Linked DNA regions of Zea mays. The protein of the gene in region 2 interacts with the protein of the main gene of each other region in a pairwise test. Links are inferred from orthologs where the notes say so. Each region holds a gene or a part of one and is shown on either strand. Other genes may lie near its edges. The genes, in order: DNA topoisomerase 6 subunit A3-like, type 2 DNA topoisomerase 6 subunit B-like and Meiotic recombination protein SPO11-2.

What was found.
Region 1: the proteins of type 2 DNA topoisomerase 6 subunit B-like (region 2) and DNA topoisomerase 6 subunit A3-like interact in binary tests that used the Arabidopsis thaliana proteins (3 or more experiments, as listed by UniProt). The link is inferred for Zea mays from reciprocal best matches to the Arabidopsis thaliana genes AT1G60460 and RHL2.
Region 3: the proteins of type 2 DNA topoisomerase 6 subunit B-like (region 2) and Meiotic recombination protein SPO11-2 interact in binary tests that used the Arabidopsis thaliana proteins (3 or more experiments, as listed by UniProt). The link is inferred for Zea mays from reciprocal best matches to the Arabidopsis thaliana genes AT1G60460 and SPO11-2.

What each region holds. Positions count from the first base shown.
Region 1 is NC_050096.1:43,347,582-43,351,626, reverse strand, and holds DNA topoisomerase 6 subunit A3-like, read right to left. Parts: upstream 2,613-4,045; 5' UTR 2,508-2,612; coding exon 1,197-2,507; 3' UTR 1,180-1,196; intron 961-1,179; 3' UTR 545-960; downstream 1-544. UniProt on the Arabidopsis thaliana protein: Component of the DNA topoisomerase VI involved in chromatin organization and progression of endoreduplication cycles. Relaxes both positive and negative superturns and exhibits a strong decatenase activity. Involved in cell-elongation processes.
Region 2 is NC_050100.1:60,887,199-60,891,021, forward strand, and holds the end of type 2 DNA topoisomerase 6 subunit B-like, read left to right. Parts: intron 1-360; coding exon 361-554; intron 555-1,566; coding exon 1,567-1,708; intron 1,709-1,952; coding exon 1,953-2,146; intron 2,147-2,267; coding exon 2,268-2,391; intron 2,392-2,731; coding exon 2,732-3,028; 3' UTR 3,029-3,280; downstream 3,281-3,823.
Region 3 is NC_050099.1:34,754,973-34,759,116, reverse strand, and holds Meiotic recombination protein SPO11-2, read right to left. Parts: upstream 2,846-4,144; 5' UTR 2,785-2,845; coding exon 2,701-2,784; intron 2,628-2,700; coding exon of another isoform or gene 2,541-2,627; intron 2,300-2,540; coding exon 2,176-2,299; intron 2,092-2,175; coding exon 1,954-2,091; intron 1,862-1,953; coding exon 1,773-1,861; intron 1,660-1,772; coding exon 1,531-1,659; intron 1,447-1,530; coding exon 1,352-1,446; intron 964-1,351; coding exon 901-963; intron 809-900; coding exon 732-808; intron 649-731; coding exon 521-648; intron 385-520; coding exon 250-384; 3' UTR 63-249; downstream 1-62. UniProt on the Arabidopsis thaliana protein: Component of a topoisomerase 6 complex specifically required for meiotic recombination. Together with MTOPVIB, mediates DNA cleavage that forms the double-strand breaks (DSB) that initiate meiotic recombination.

The DNA.
Region 1 (4,045 bases), on a different chromosome or scaffold from region 2:
AATAGCGATATTTACAGAAACCATCACTATGTTTTTTGTGCTTACCGTAATCCATAATACCATGTATTCTGCAGGTTGAAGCTCGAATTGTTCTATCTGTTCTTCGGAAGATCAAAGAGCAATACCTCCTAGGTCATGTTGAGCTGCCACTTCGTATTATCATCACGGATCATGAGAAGACATCAAGAGCTGAAGCTGAAACTACTGCAGTTGACATCGTGCAGGCAATAATTACTGAAACTAGTGCAGTTGATGTCGTGCAGGCAAGAGCTGAAGTTGAAATTAGTTTTGATTGAACCTGGAAGCCGCCCTCCTGTTTCATCAAAATCCAAAGCACCAACAAAATCTAGAGGTAATTTAGAGCAAATATCCAAAGAATTCACTAGGAGACCACAGGGAATGATAAAAATCCCTATTAACTCACTGAACCATTGGTTGAAGAAGAAAGCCGCAAGGATTGCAGTGTGACATTTTCTTACAATAGCCTTTTGGTCCATTTACTATACAATAAATTGGTACAGTTATTCTAGGATTGGGTGTACATATGAAAACAGGGTAATTGAATTTAATTGTCATGTTTCTAAAGACATCATGCATGGATTTTCATACTGCTATATATCAATTTCCAGTACATTTTCATTCAATCCGGGTTATCCCATTTCCATGTCAAACACGGAACTAATAAGCCCTACAGAAATATAGGACACAGAACAACCAAAGTTCGACCAGATAAGAGGCCGAACCAATTTAAATCACCTGTGTTATGTATCAAATTCCAGCACATATCTGGCAGCAATGTTTTCCACAGAACAGTTCTCCAGCAGAAATAAATAATACAACAGCTGGTGTTCAAAAATACATGTGATTAACTAGATAGCGAAGTCTTCATTCATGCCAATTTGGTCCTTGAAAATACTGAGCGGAGGAGGGCATTATCTTGGCTAGGGAAATTACTGATATCTGCATGTACAAACACAATATCAGGTATAATGACAGTCTTGGTTAACTGATACATTTGACTGAACAATCTGGATCTCTGTGTTGCTAATTCACTCATGAGGAAAGGTGCCTAAGTGTTGTGTTGTGCTGTGTACTTGGTGAAATGCACTAATAACCATATCAAGCCGAGCGTGGGCAGCAATGAACAAAGTGACGCGAACAAGACCAAAGATCTCGTACCTAGCATTGGAGAGTTCTCAAATCCAATCCTGCTCCTGCAACTTAAGAGGCAGGTAGACCTCAGTGAGGTACTGGAACCCGAAGGAACTGAGGGCCTGTATCTCAGCCTTTTGCTTGGTGCGAAGCATCGTCTCCAGCTCCTTCACCCAGCCCTCATTCTGCTTCACGAAGTCCTCCTCGAGCAGCTCTTTCCCCACCTTGATATCGTGATCGGTCATGGGGAGACGGCACTGCTCCGGCACTCTGTACTTGTCCAGGTCGCTCGGCCGGACACCGAGCCACTTGATGTCCGGCGTCGTCAGATTGGCACTGTCATACGACATGTTCTTGGAACCACACATGTACACCGACAAGATCTTGAGCCCGTATGGATCGGAATCCACCAGCGCGAGCACTGGCAGCTTCAGCTCAACCTTGAGCCTCCGCAGGAACAGCCGGGTGGCGACATCTGGCTGCCCCTTGGCCGTCAGAATGATGCAGGGGAAGCGGTTGTAGAACCTGTCCTCGGCGAGTCGCATGAATGCAGCGTCCTTCTCCACCAGGAGGATGAAGAGCGCGTCGCTCTCGATGCCCGAGACCCTGTCGACGTTGGGCGGAATGGCCTTGCCGCCGACGCCCATGCGCGTGCAGTCGATCCGGTCCCCGTCGTCGGCGAAGACGAGGCGGCCGACGACGACGCCCTTCTCGGAGGCGACGACGTGGAGCGAGGACCTGGTGCATCCGAGCATGCAGGAGACGTCGTCGAGGACGGCGTCAGACTGGGTCTGGTCGCCGAAGAGCTTGACGTCGGTGTAGAAGAGGTCACGCTTGGTGACGTGGATGCCCCTGCCGAGGACGGCGTGGACGAGGGAGAGGACTCGCGCCGTGATGGTGGCCTTGCGCGCGGTGGCGACGTTGGCGAAGGGGCGCGCGGACTCGCGGCGGACGAGCACGATGCGGTCGAGGTCCGGGAGGTAGACCTGGTTGGAGGCGGCGCGCGAGGGCACCGCGAAGGAGAAGCCCCGGCCGGAGAGGATGCTGCGCGCGGCGGCAAGGACGAGGCGGTTGATGCGGGAGGTGACGGAGGTGGAGTCCTGGTCGGCCACCACGATGTACGAGGAGGCGGGGTCCGCGCACGGGTCGTGGTCCGCGAGGGACCTGGCGGCGGCCTTGGATTTGGAAGCGGAGGCAGAAGCGAGGGAGCGGAGGGTGGCCAGGATGGAGGCGTCGGGGCGGAGCTTCGAGCGGAGGGACTCGGCGTACGACGCGGCCGAGGAAGCACGCGGCTTCTTGGAGCTGGATGCGGCGCCGGCCGCGCTCGCACCGGCGCGGCGCTTTTTCTCCGACATGGGGAGGAGCGAGAGATCGGAAGGCGGCGGAGGGAAATACGGGGTTCTGGGGCGCAGATGACGGCGTCGGCGGCGGGGCTTAGCTCGAGCGCGGCTGCGATTTGGTCTGGTGGTGACTGGTGAGGAGTGTGGAGGACCGACTGACCGAGTACCGGAGGAGGGCTGTGCCGCGCGCGGCGTCTCGGCTGGGCTAAGCTAATGGGCCGAATAGCTTATGGGCTCAAGGCCGCAATGACACAAAACTATAGATGAGCAAACTAGTCATGCTCGGCACGATACGACCTGGGCTCATGCCAAGGCACGACATGACCAGGCCCACGGGTCTATCGGGCCAAGCATGCACAATCATGCGTGGGCACATCCCTTTGAACCATTTTTTCGGGTCAAGCCAGCCCGAAAAGCCCTAGCCAAATAGAGTGTCGAGCTAGCACGAAAACACAATTTGAACAAAAACATGCACAATTTCAACATCCAACACAATTTGAACAAAATATACACAAAATTTGAGTTGTTAATGCAATGTTGTCTCGTTAAAAACCTTTATAGGTAAAACTCATACCTCGTGAGAAACCCTAGAAAGGAAAAAAGTACGACCAACTCAGTTTATAATTCAAATGTTCAAATTTATTACAAGCCAAAGGGTGATATCAAATTAGATCAGAATTCACGACGTAGCCCCCCTTCTCGGCTCCGTACCTCAACGGCCTTGGCGGCACTAGCACGACCACGACGTAGTCGGCCGATGACCTACCAAAGCCCACAAGCAAGCAGCGAAGAGGAGATTAGGGTTAGGGATTGCCGATTGGAGAGGGAGAGCCGAAGAGGGACGTACCTGCCTAGCCGGAGCTCAAAGCCGGAGACAAGGATCTAGTGCACAACGACGCTTGACGAGCCGATAACCGACGACGACGAGATTTGGGTTAGGGATTTCTGGATTAGGGAGGGACCGAGGGAGAGCCAGAGAGGGGCAAGCCGCACAAAAGGAGTGTAGGAGACCCGCCGATGTCGCCGGTGATGAAATTTCGATGGTGGCGACAACAACAGCGAGGCAAAGACGGCGCGACGGGCAGACCACGAACAAACGAATCGAGTGGGGAGAGGAGCAGGAGAAGCCGTGTGGGAGTGGGACACTGGGATGAGACGAGGGGAAGGGGGATGTCGTGTGTGCCTTATGCCCTGCACCCCGACACCGAGGCGGCCCCGTGCCTGCTGTTTTCTGGCGGGCCGGGTCGCGCAGCAAGCACTATGGATAGCCCAAGCATGGCCTCGTTTATTGTGGCGGTCCGGCCCAGGCACGAACCCAGTCGGGCAAAAAAAAGAGCCTCGGGCTACATGCTCATGTATACACACACAGAACATCAACGAGTCTCGCAGAACATCAACAACAACGAGTCTCGTACGTCCTATATATTATTCCTAGCAGATACTCAGAACTTCATCGATTTCTATACAGAACCATACATATGTTATGTACACGCACGAGCTTGTTTGGGAGCAAGAAAAATAAAAGGAATTTGAGGGGCTAAAATCCTCTTGTT
Region 2 (3,823 bases):
TATTTGATATTGTCAATGGCTGGAGATAGTTGATTAGAAGTGCATTGGCTACGGATATATTGGTAACAAGTATCTTGGAAAAAAGGTTATCAATAAACTAAATAGGTGTATATATGTCCTTGAGCTGATTAACTGAAACAAAAAAACATAACAGGTCTAAAAGTGATTACCATTTTTCAGCTGTCGGTCACTTGTGGTGTGACCGTCCGAGTGTGACATTTAACTTGAATTGGTTGTGGAATATTTTCAGTTTCGATTGTTGAGTATCAAGGACGCATGTACCTTGAGAATCTCTGTTTTGCCTCTTTTTCCTTAAGCTGACAACTTAAGTTCCTGTTTGGCTGTTTATTTTGTACTTAGAATTTAGCATGTGAGCTCTTTGTTGAGCAAACAGGCAACACTGGTTCCAGAAATGTCTGTCTACCACAAGATTCTGATGATGTGCATCATTCTGTTACGGCATCAAGTATTGACCAGCTAGTTTCTGGTCTTAAAGACTACTCACTCTCCCATGTAAATTCTTGCGACAAGTGTGGCATGTGCTTATTTGATAGGTAAAAAAACCTTTCCATCATGACTGTCTTACATATTTTTCTCATACTACTATGCTGCTAAGATAATTTTACTGAATTTGCTAATATATGCTCCAAAATTTTCATGCTGAAGTCACCCTTATTCTTACCTGGGGGCATCTAGGTAGGGGTTGTGCTTTTTGATTTGCTTGTGTCCCTTTTCTGAGCTTACCAATATTCTGTTTATAATTACTTCTAGTCTTTACTCAAAATGAGATGTTTTAAAAACCAAATCATATTTTTCTGCTATCTGTCTTTATTTGAATCTTTCATCAGTAGTTTATCATCTGTATTCATTTCTAGCTTTTTTCCTGAACTCACAATTTAGAAAGCTAAATGATATTTCTGGAATCTCTTTTCCGTGTTCTTTGGAGTTTGCTGTTGATAAATCTTGTTAAGCAGATCGCTTTTTCCATTATTCTTTGAATTCAATTGTATATTTTTTTCCTTTTTTCAGGTCCATTGACATCATGTTTTTTGTTTTAGGTATAGCCCTATGTGAGAAAGCTAACCAAGAATCACTGCTATGTGCTATGTTTGCATTCGTTGATTTTTTTAAGAAATTTGCATTCATTTGTGTTTAAGACATATTTTCACACTTGTTAGCATGATTTGTGTTTAAGATATATTTTCACACTTGTTAGCATTAGATCTTTTGTATCTTCTTTCCTATATTTAACCATGAGAAAATTGTTGATGGCAGCCCACATGCAACAGCATCCCATGCTTCACTGTGTATTTGCCCATTTCTTAATCGCCCAAGCCCAAGCCCAAGCCCAAGCCCATTCTCTCGGCCTTTCTGGCATGCATGTGCTAAGCTCCTATGTCCAAACCTTTATGTAGTCTGGTCTGTTGTCTATTCACTCATTGGCATGCTAATGAACACTTGCATATCATCTGAGTGTGGTGTTATGCATCCTCACGGGTCAGGACAGATTGGTGTGCTTCCATAACATGATTAGTAAGTTTTAGTTTTTCTTCCTTCTTACTTCAGAGATCTTCTAAAGATTGGAACTGGAGCAGCAAACCATGTAGAAAGAAGAAAAGCTAACCGACTACATGTTGAAGTAGTCATAGTGATTGCACATATTGCATCTGATTCAGATTGTTGTATGGCAAATTGCTCGTCCACGCAGGTTTGAACCACGAAGGTTTTAGTTATACATTTTCATTTCCTAAATAGTTTTTTCTCCTAGGCCCTAGTGCGGTACATTCCCCATGCCAAGACAATCTTATTTTAATTTGACAATGGAAATGACTTGTTCGTTTGACTTATAACTTACTTACTAACAGTACAATAACTCTCGTAAAGTATATTAGAGTTAAGCATGATTCAACTGAGCTTATAGTTTATGCCATTGTTGGCTGCAACAATTGCAGGTTTTGTACTTTGAAGATTTTGTACCTTGTCAGATATTGCAGTCCTCTTTTGATGTGTTGATGAGCACAGACTGGCAAAGCTATGGTTTCAAGTTAAAAGGAGGTTTGATGGGTGATGACGGAAACGCTGTTCTCGAGTGGGATAACATGGCATTTGCTCGTATTGATATTTCCATTCATACTTACCACGAATGATATCCAGTTTGCACACTTCATCCTCTTTTTGTTTTCATCCACAAGTTATTTTTTTCAGTGAAAGCTCAATCTATATGTAGAGGGTGGATTTTCTGTCTATCCTTGACTTTCTCCAGCCACTGCTATGCAAGAACGGCAGGGATCTCCACAGGATAGATACCTTTTGAGGAAGGCACTCAAATCTGCTCTAACTCACTTGAAAGCAGATCATGCAGGAGATTTTCTTAGTTGCCATGGCCAGAGGGTATGCACTTTGTACATATTTCTTAGTTTTTTACTACTATTGATTAACTTATTCAGTATGTTTTTTGGACTGAAGAAATTATGTTGCTATTTGGGTAGAAGCTAAGGCTAAAGTGCCATCATACACTTAGGACAATTTGTCTTATTCTATCAACTACGCAACTACGCTGCAAATGGTCACCTATTTATTAGAGTTAGTATAGAGAAAGATAAGCTAAGCGTGACATCATAATAAGCACCATAAAATTCTATCATGAAAAGAATACCATATGTTAGTTATATCATTTCAGGTTGTATCATAATAAGCACTCTAAATCATTCGGTTCATTATGTCATTTCAGGTTCGTGAATACGTTCCTGACCTTGCGGAATCAATCGCTGGGCTGATCTTGTCATCCACCGATGAAGAGTTCCAAGGCGAATGCTTTGCGCTTCTTGGGCTAGGCTCCGAACAAGACGTCTCTGGAGGAGCTGTTCAGTCGTCGATCTGCGAGAAGATGATCCGCATCATAGAGATAAATGACACCAAGGATAATTCAGAGGACAACGTGCCTTATCTGTTCGAATGCGAGAAGCTGGATGAAGATAGCGAGCTGGACGAAGGAGGTGGAGATGAAGACATGGCTTCCGATTTCTAGCGTTGTTTTCACCCGTCTACCGTCTCGTAGAGTTGTAGTGTAGTTAGAGATGGCAATGGGTGTCGAAAACCCGAATACTTATGTAGGTGGATATGAGATGATTTTTATATTGGTGGATATGTTAATGAACAACAATCCCTGCCCGTTGGATAAACGGTACGATACACGCACCGTATATCCGTGAGTAAAATATATCTGTACCATACAACTATTATTATCTAATAAAATTAAAATAAAACCCTTTTTCGACTATCGTTTATTTAACTTTCAAGTTATGTAATCATTTGGTTTGTTATATTTCAGGTTAAACTTATTTTTATGTATTTATTTGACATTTGAGTGTTCGGAATATTATAATTTAAGATCTTCTTAGCGAGTATGGGTTACCCATGGAGCATGGGGTATAAGTATGAGTAGATTTAGTACTAAGAGCGTATATAGATAATCCGATAATAAATATATACCTGTTGCCATCTCTAATCTCTAATTGTTGTAGCCCAGACTCCACTAAACCCGCTCGCTGAACTCGAGGCGGTTTAAGTAGCAGTTGCTACGTCAATGTTTAGAAAACGTAATTGCAGAAATTAAATAATTAAACGGAATATAGCTGCAGCCTGCAGCCTTTCCAAAACTTCTACAGTTTAATCAAAACTAGTCTTGGGGCAACTTTTTAGGCAAAGTGGAGACCACGGCCTAGTAAAATTGCAGTAAGCTGCTCCGTAGTTTCCCTGTCATTTAGAGATCACGCTTCGCTGTTTAGAGTAAGCTTCTTCTTTGTGTTTTGAAGAACCATAT
Region 3 (4,144 bases), on a different chromosome or scaffold from region 2:
CAGGCTGCATCGGCCGGAGTGCCGGACCATACACCGGGCACCGCCACTGAACATCAGAACTCAAGAGAGTCAAAACCCATGTGATTCGGTGGCCGATGATGATCGATATTAGACTACTCTTGTTGTATTTATGTACATTCCCATACAGACCATCGTTTCAGTCTACAGGCAGTTGGACATAGCTACTGTACTACAGTCCATGCAGCTCATTGTTCCGTGCAACCATGCTAACATTCCAGCGGCCAATCGTCAGATGTAATCGCCCTGCACGATCTTTCTCGCGATGTACTTCCCCAAGAAATCGAACCCGTGGGAGTAGAGGGCTTCGATGTCTGCACGCTTGCCCCTCTCCACCATCAGCGCCAGCTCAGCTCTGTGACTCTCCTACAGCCGAAAACCACCATAAATCATTTGCAGACATATATAAGGGCCTTAAGCCGAATTTTACACAAGGCCATATGATAAAGCATCAGGGAACGATAGTAATTATGTAACGACGTTGAGAGCCAAATACACACACCTGCAGGAACTTTGACGACATCAAGCTTTTGGCAATCTGCAGATCACGTGGCTTCAGCTCTTGAAACGCGTCCTCGGGGATAAGATGCAGATCACCTCCTCTCACCCCGAGCCATTTCACGTTGCAAGCTGAAAATGGAGAACAGGATTCACATGGTTCGGTTCGGCCACATGTGCAGAATAAAGGCCAGATGATCACTCAAACAAAGTACCATATCTGTATGACTCTAGGCCCATTGATATGCTTCCGTATTTGTAAGTGCACAGTATAGCAAGCCCTGCTGGGTTCCTGGAAAAAAAAATCAATGCTATCTAAATTTGTTAAAAGGGCATCACTCAGTTATAACACTATATAGCGATGAGCACAGGAAGGGGCTTAACCAATCCACTAATGCGAAAATCGGCATATTCGGAAATGTCTGGCTCAGTCGATGCAAGATGAACCTGTATCATGACAGCAAATATGTAGGGCATAAATACACCTATCACCAAATATTGTCAACATTATCATAAAGAATTTGGATGCAAACTTGCACTGTTACATTACATAAGTGGTGATATATCCCGTGCAATCACTCATTTGGTGCCAGCGTGCAATCAAACAATCCAAAGCATTCAATATATATCCAACAGTTTTATATGGAAGAGGTTAAATGTAAAATAGGTACTAGGTTTCAGGTGTATGTGTGTGTGGGGGGGGTGGGGGGTGGGGGGGGGGGGGGTGGTTAAATATAAATAGCAGTCACCGTTGAATTTTAATTGGATGCACTAGATAGCTTGATTGCACACTCCTAATAAGAAAAACTAAATGCTTGAAATGGAGGTACACAACCTTGTGGCAATATCAGGATATCCTTTTGCAGTGATCAGAATACAAGGGAGCTGATTATACAGGCGGTCTTCAGCCAGCCTCTGAAATACGGCATCCTATTTGAAACAAATGACCTTATAAGCTATAAGGATGCACTATAGAGATAAATCATTACTAAATTATAGCAGTAGGATCGGTACCTTCTCCACCACAATGATGTACCGAGAGCCCGAAGACAAATTTAATTTGCTCAACAGGTTCAGGTCCCCCGTAATTGCATGCCCTGAAGCTCCAAGAATGGAGCAATCAATCTGCTCCCCGTCCGGTTCCTAAGGTAGTTGAAACATGCAGTTTAGGTGCTTACTGAAAAGATAAACAAGACTTTATCATGTATTCCCTCAACACATAATCAGGATATATTCTGGGATATCATGGAGCAGACATGCAACACAAGGCGCCCAATGAGTGCCCCTCTGCTTGATGCCATGACTCCTAAGCTCTGCCTTGTGCACCGGAGCAAGGAAACAACATCTGCACGTGAAGAGGGGACCAAATTTGATTACGACCAAACTACACATTAGCCAAACAAGAATCAAATGGGTTGGGGTGGGGGTTTTGTCCACCTTGAATGGCTTGGTTGACATGACGTTGACAGCTGAAGTACTTGGGTGAGTCGGACAGGAGCTTGTAGAACAGCTCCCGTTGCTGGACCAGCTTCCCCTCCCCCAAGATCTTGTAGCACATCTCCATGACCTTCCACACTATCCCACAACAAACGGCTATTTTAACCAGACAAATGGGCGAGGATAATTCCGTCCCAGGGTACTCAAGGAACAAGTGGTAACCTCTTACGAACGCCTTTGGATTGTGCGTCAGAGACCTCTTGCAGAAGGTGTATGAGAGATAAACCGACGAGACGTCGTTCAGCAACCCACTGCGCAGGCTGCAGTTGGCAGAGCTCCGACTAATCTGCCATGGAAAAAAGAAATCATTCAGAATACTGCTCGCAATACATTTCACCAAGGTTATCTGAACTAGAAATCATACAGCTTGCAATAACTGATGACGAATCGTGATAATTGGCTAGGGACCAAATTCCTGTGTTATCCACATGGCACATGGGTGAAGCGCGCAGAACCATCACCGCGGTAAGAGAGGAATGTGTGTGTGTGAGAGAGGGGGAGGGGGGGAGGTTTGGCAACTGGTGTACCAGGGGGAGGACGGAGATGGCCGGCGAGGAAGGGGAGGCTAGCGCTGCGAGGAAGTTGAGCACCGCTACCTCGATCCTAGCCCGGACCTATCGACAACGAAATAGGACCCGTCAGTGACCACAACGAAAGGCGCGCACGAAGACATGGGCGAGGCGGAACCTCAGGCGGCGCGAGGATGTCGGCTGAGCAGAGGCGGCCGTCAGCGCCGAAGAGCGACGCCGCTGCCACGTTCGCCTCCGCCATCGATGGAGAGTTGGAGACGCTGCTGCGGTTCGCGGGCGGAGGCGAGTCGCCAAGTTGTGTGTGTGCTGCGGCCTGCGGGCACCGGCGAATGGGCTGGGCCGAGTTAGGAAATGAGAGTCCAGTAGTGGTCTGCGTACCTGTGGTAGTATGCCCCCTACAGACTTAAACTTATATTGAACGTAGGGTGACAATAAATTCTAATTTTTACACTATAAAATTTAACTATAAAATTTAAGTATCAAATCGGATTAGAATCGTGCTCTATTTCTATTCATTTTTGAACTGCAAATTATTTAAAACTCTATCATTTTGTGAAAAAGCATTTGGATCACGATTCATTACCACCCCTAGTCGGACGGAAGGACAACCGTCAAACATAAGGCTGCTTGTTGGAATTTCCTCCGTTTCCTTTTGTGCATAACTGCACTTGTGTGAAATTGAGCACAAAATCTTGTAATAGTCAGTCCTCCATATCTATTGACATGTAATTTTTTTCTCATTTTCATGGCTTCTAAATCTATACTACTCTATTAAGAATCTAACGTGGGCAGCTGGTGCTACCACGGTTTCAACCTCAGCGCTAAAATTCTAGGCCCGCCCCACACGTTCCGACTGGTTCTCCCGTCCCACACACCTCGCCTCGACATCGTGCCCTGTGGGACCCATGCCCAACGCCCGCGCAACGCCCTCTCAGCTACTGCCATGTGGACCCCCAACGCCCTACTGCGCCTACCCAGCACCCGAGCCTACCCAGCACCCGATCCCGACCGCACAACTACCACACTATACAAAAAATAGTGCAGAGTGAGCACTCGAACCCATGTCCCCTGCTTCAGAAATTTAGGTCTAACCACCAGCACACGTACCTTATAGAGTTTAGAAATAAACAACAATTATATACGAATAAATATTTTAATGTCTATTTATATGACATATAACAACTGTAGCAAAGCACGTACAACTATCTAGTAATTTTGTAAGAAGCTTAAAAATATTTTTTTGGGATGGTTAACTTAAGTCAATCGCTCTTAAAAAAAACTAGAGAGAGAGTTACATGTTCTTTTCATCTCATCAATCTAGGCGGTGTATGTACACGTGTACATACATGGCCTAAGAATACTAGTTCTTTTACTTGGGAGACTGAGCGGTGGCCACAAAAAAGGGTGTATAGCTACATGTTCTTTTCATCTCATCAAAAGCTTGTGGTGATGACTGGCTGTTATATGATTATTGTATGCTGCATATGTTGGCTACATGTGTGTGTGTACGTACGTATATACATTGTTTACGACCACCCAGAAGGGAGAACTTCAACGACGCCTACGTTGTTTACGAGCTGATGGACACCGACCTTCACCAC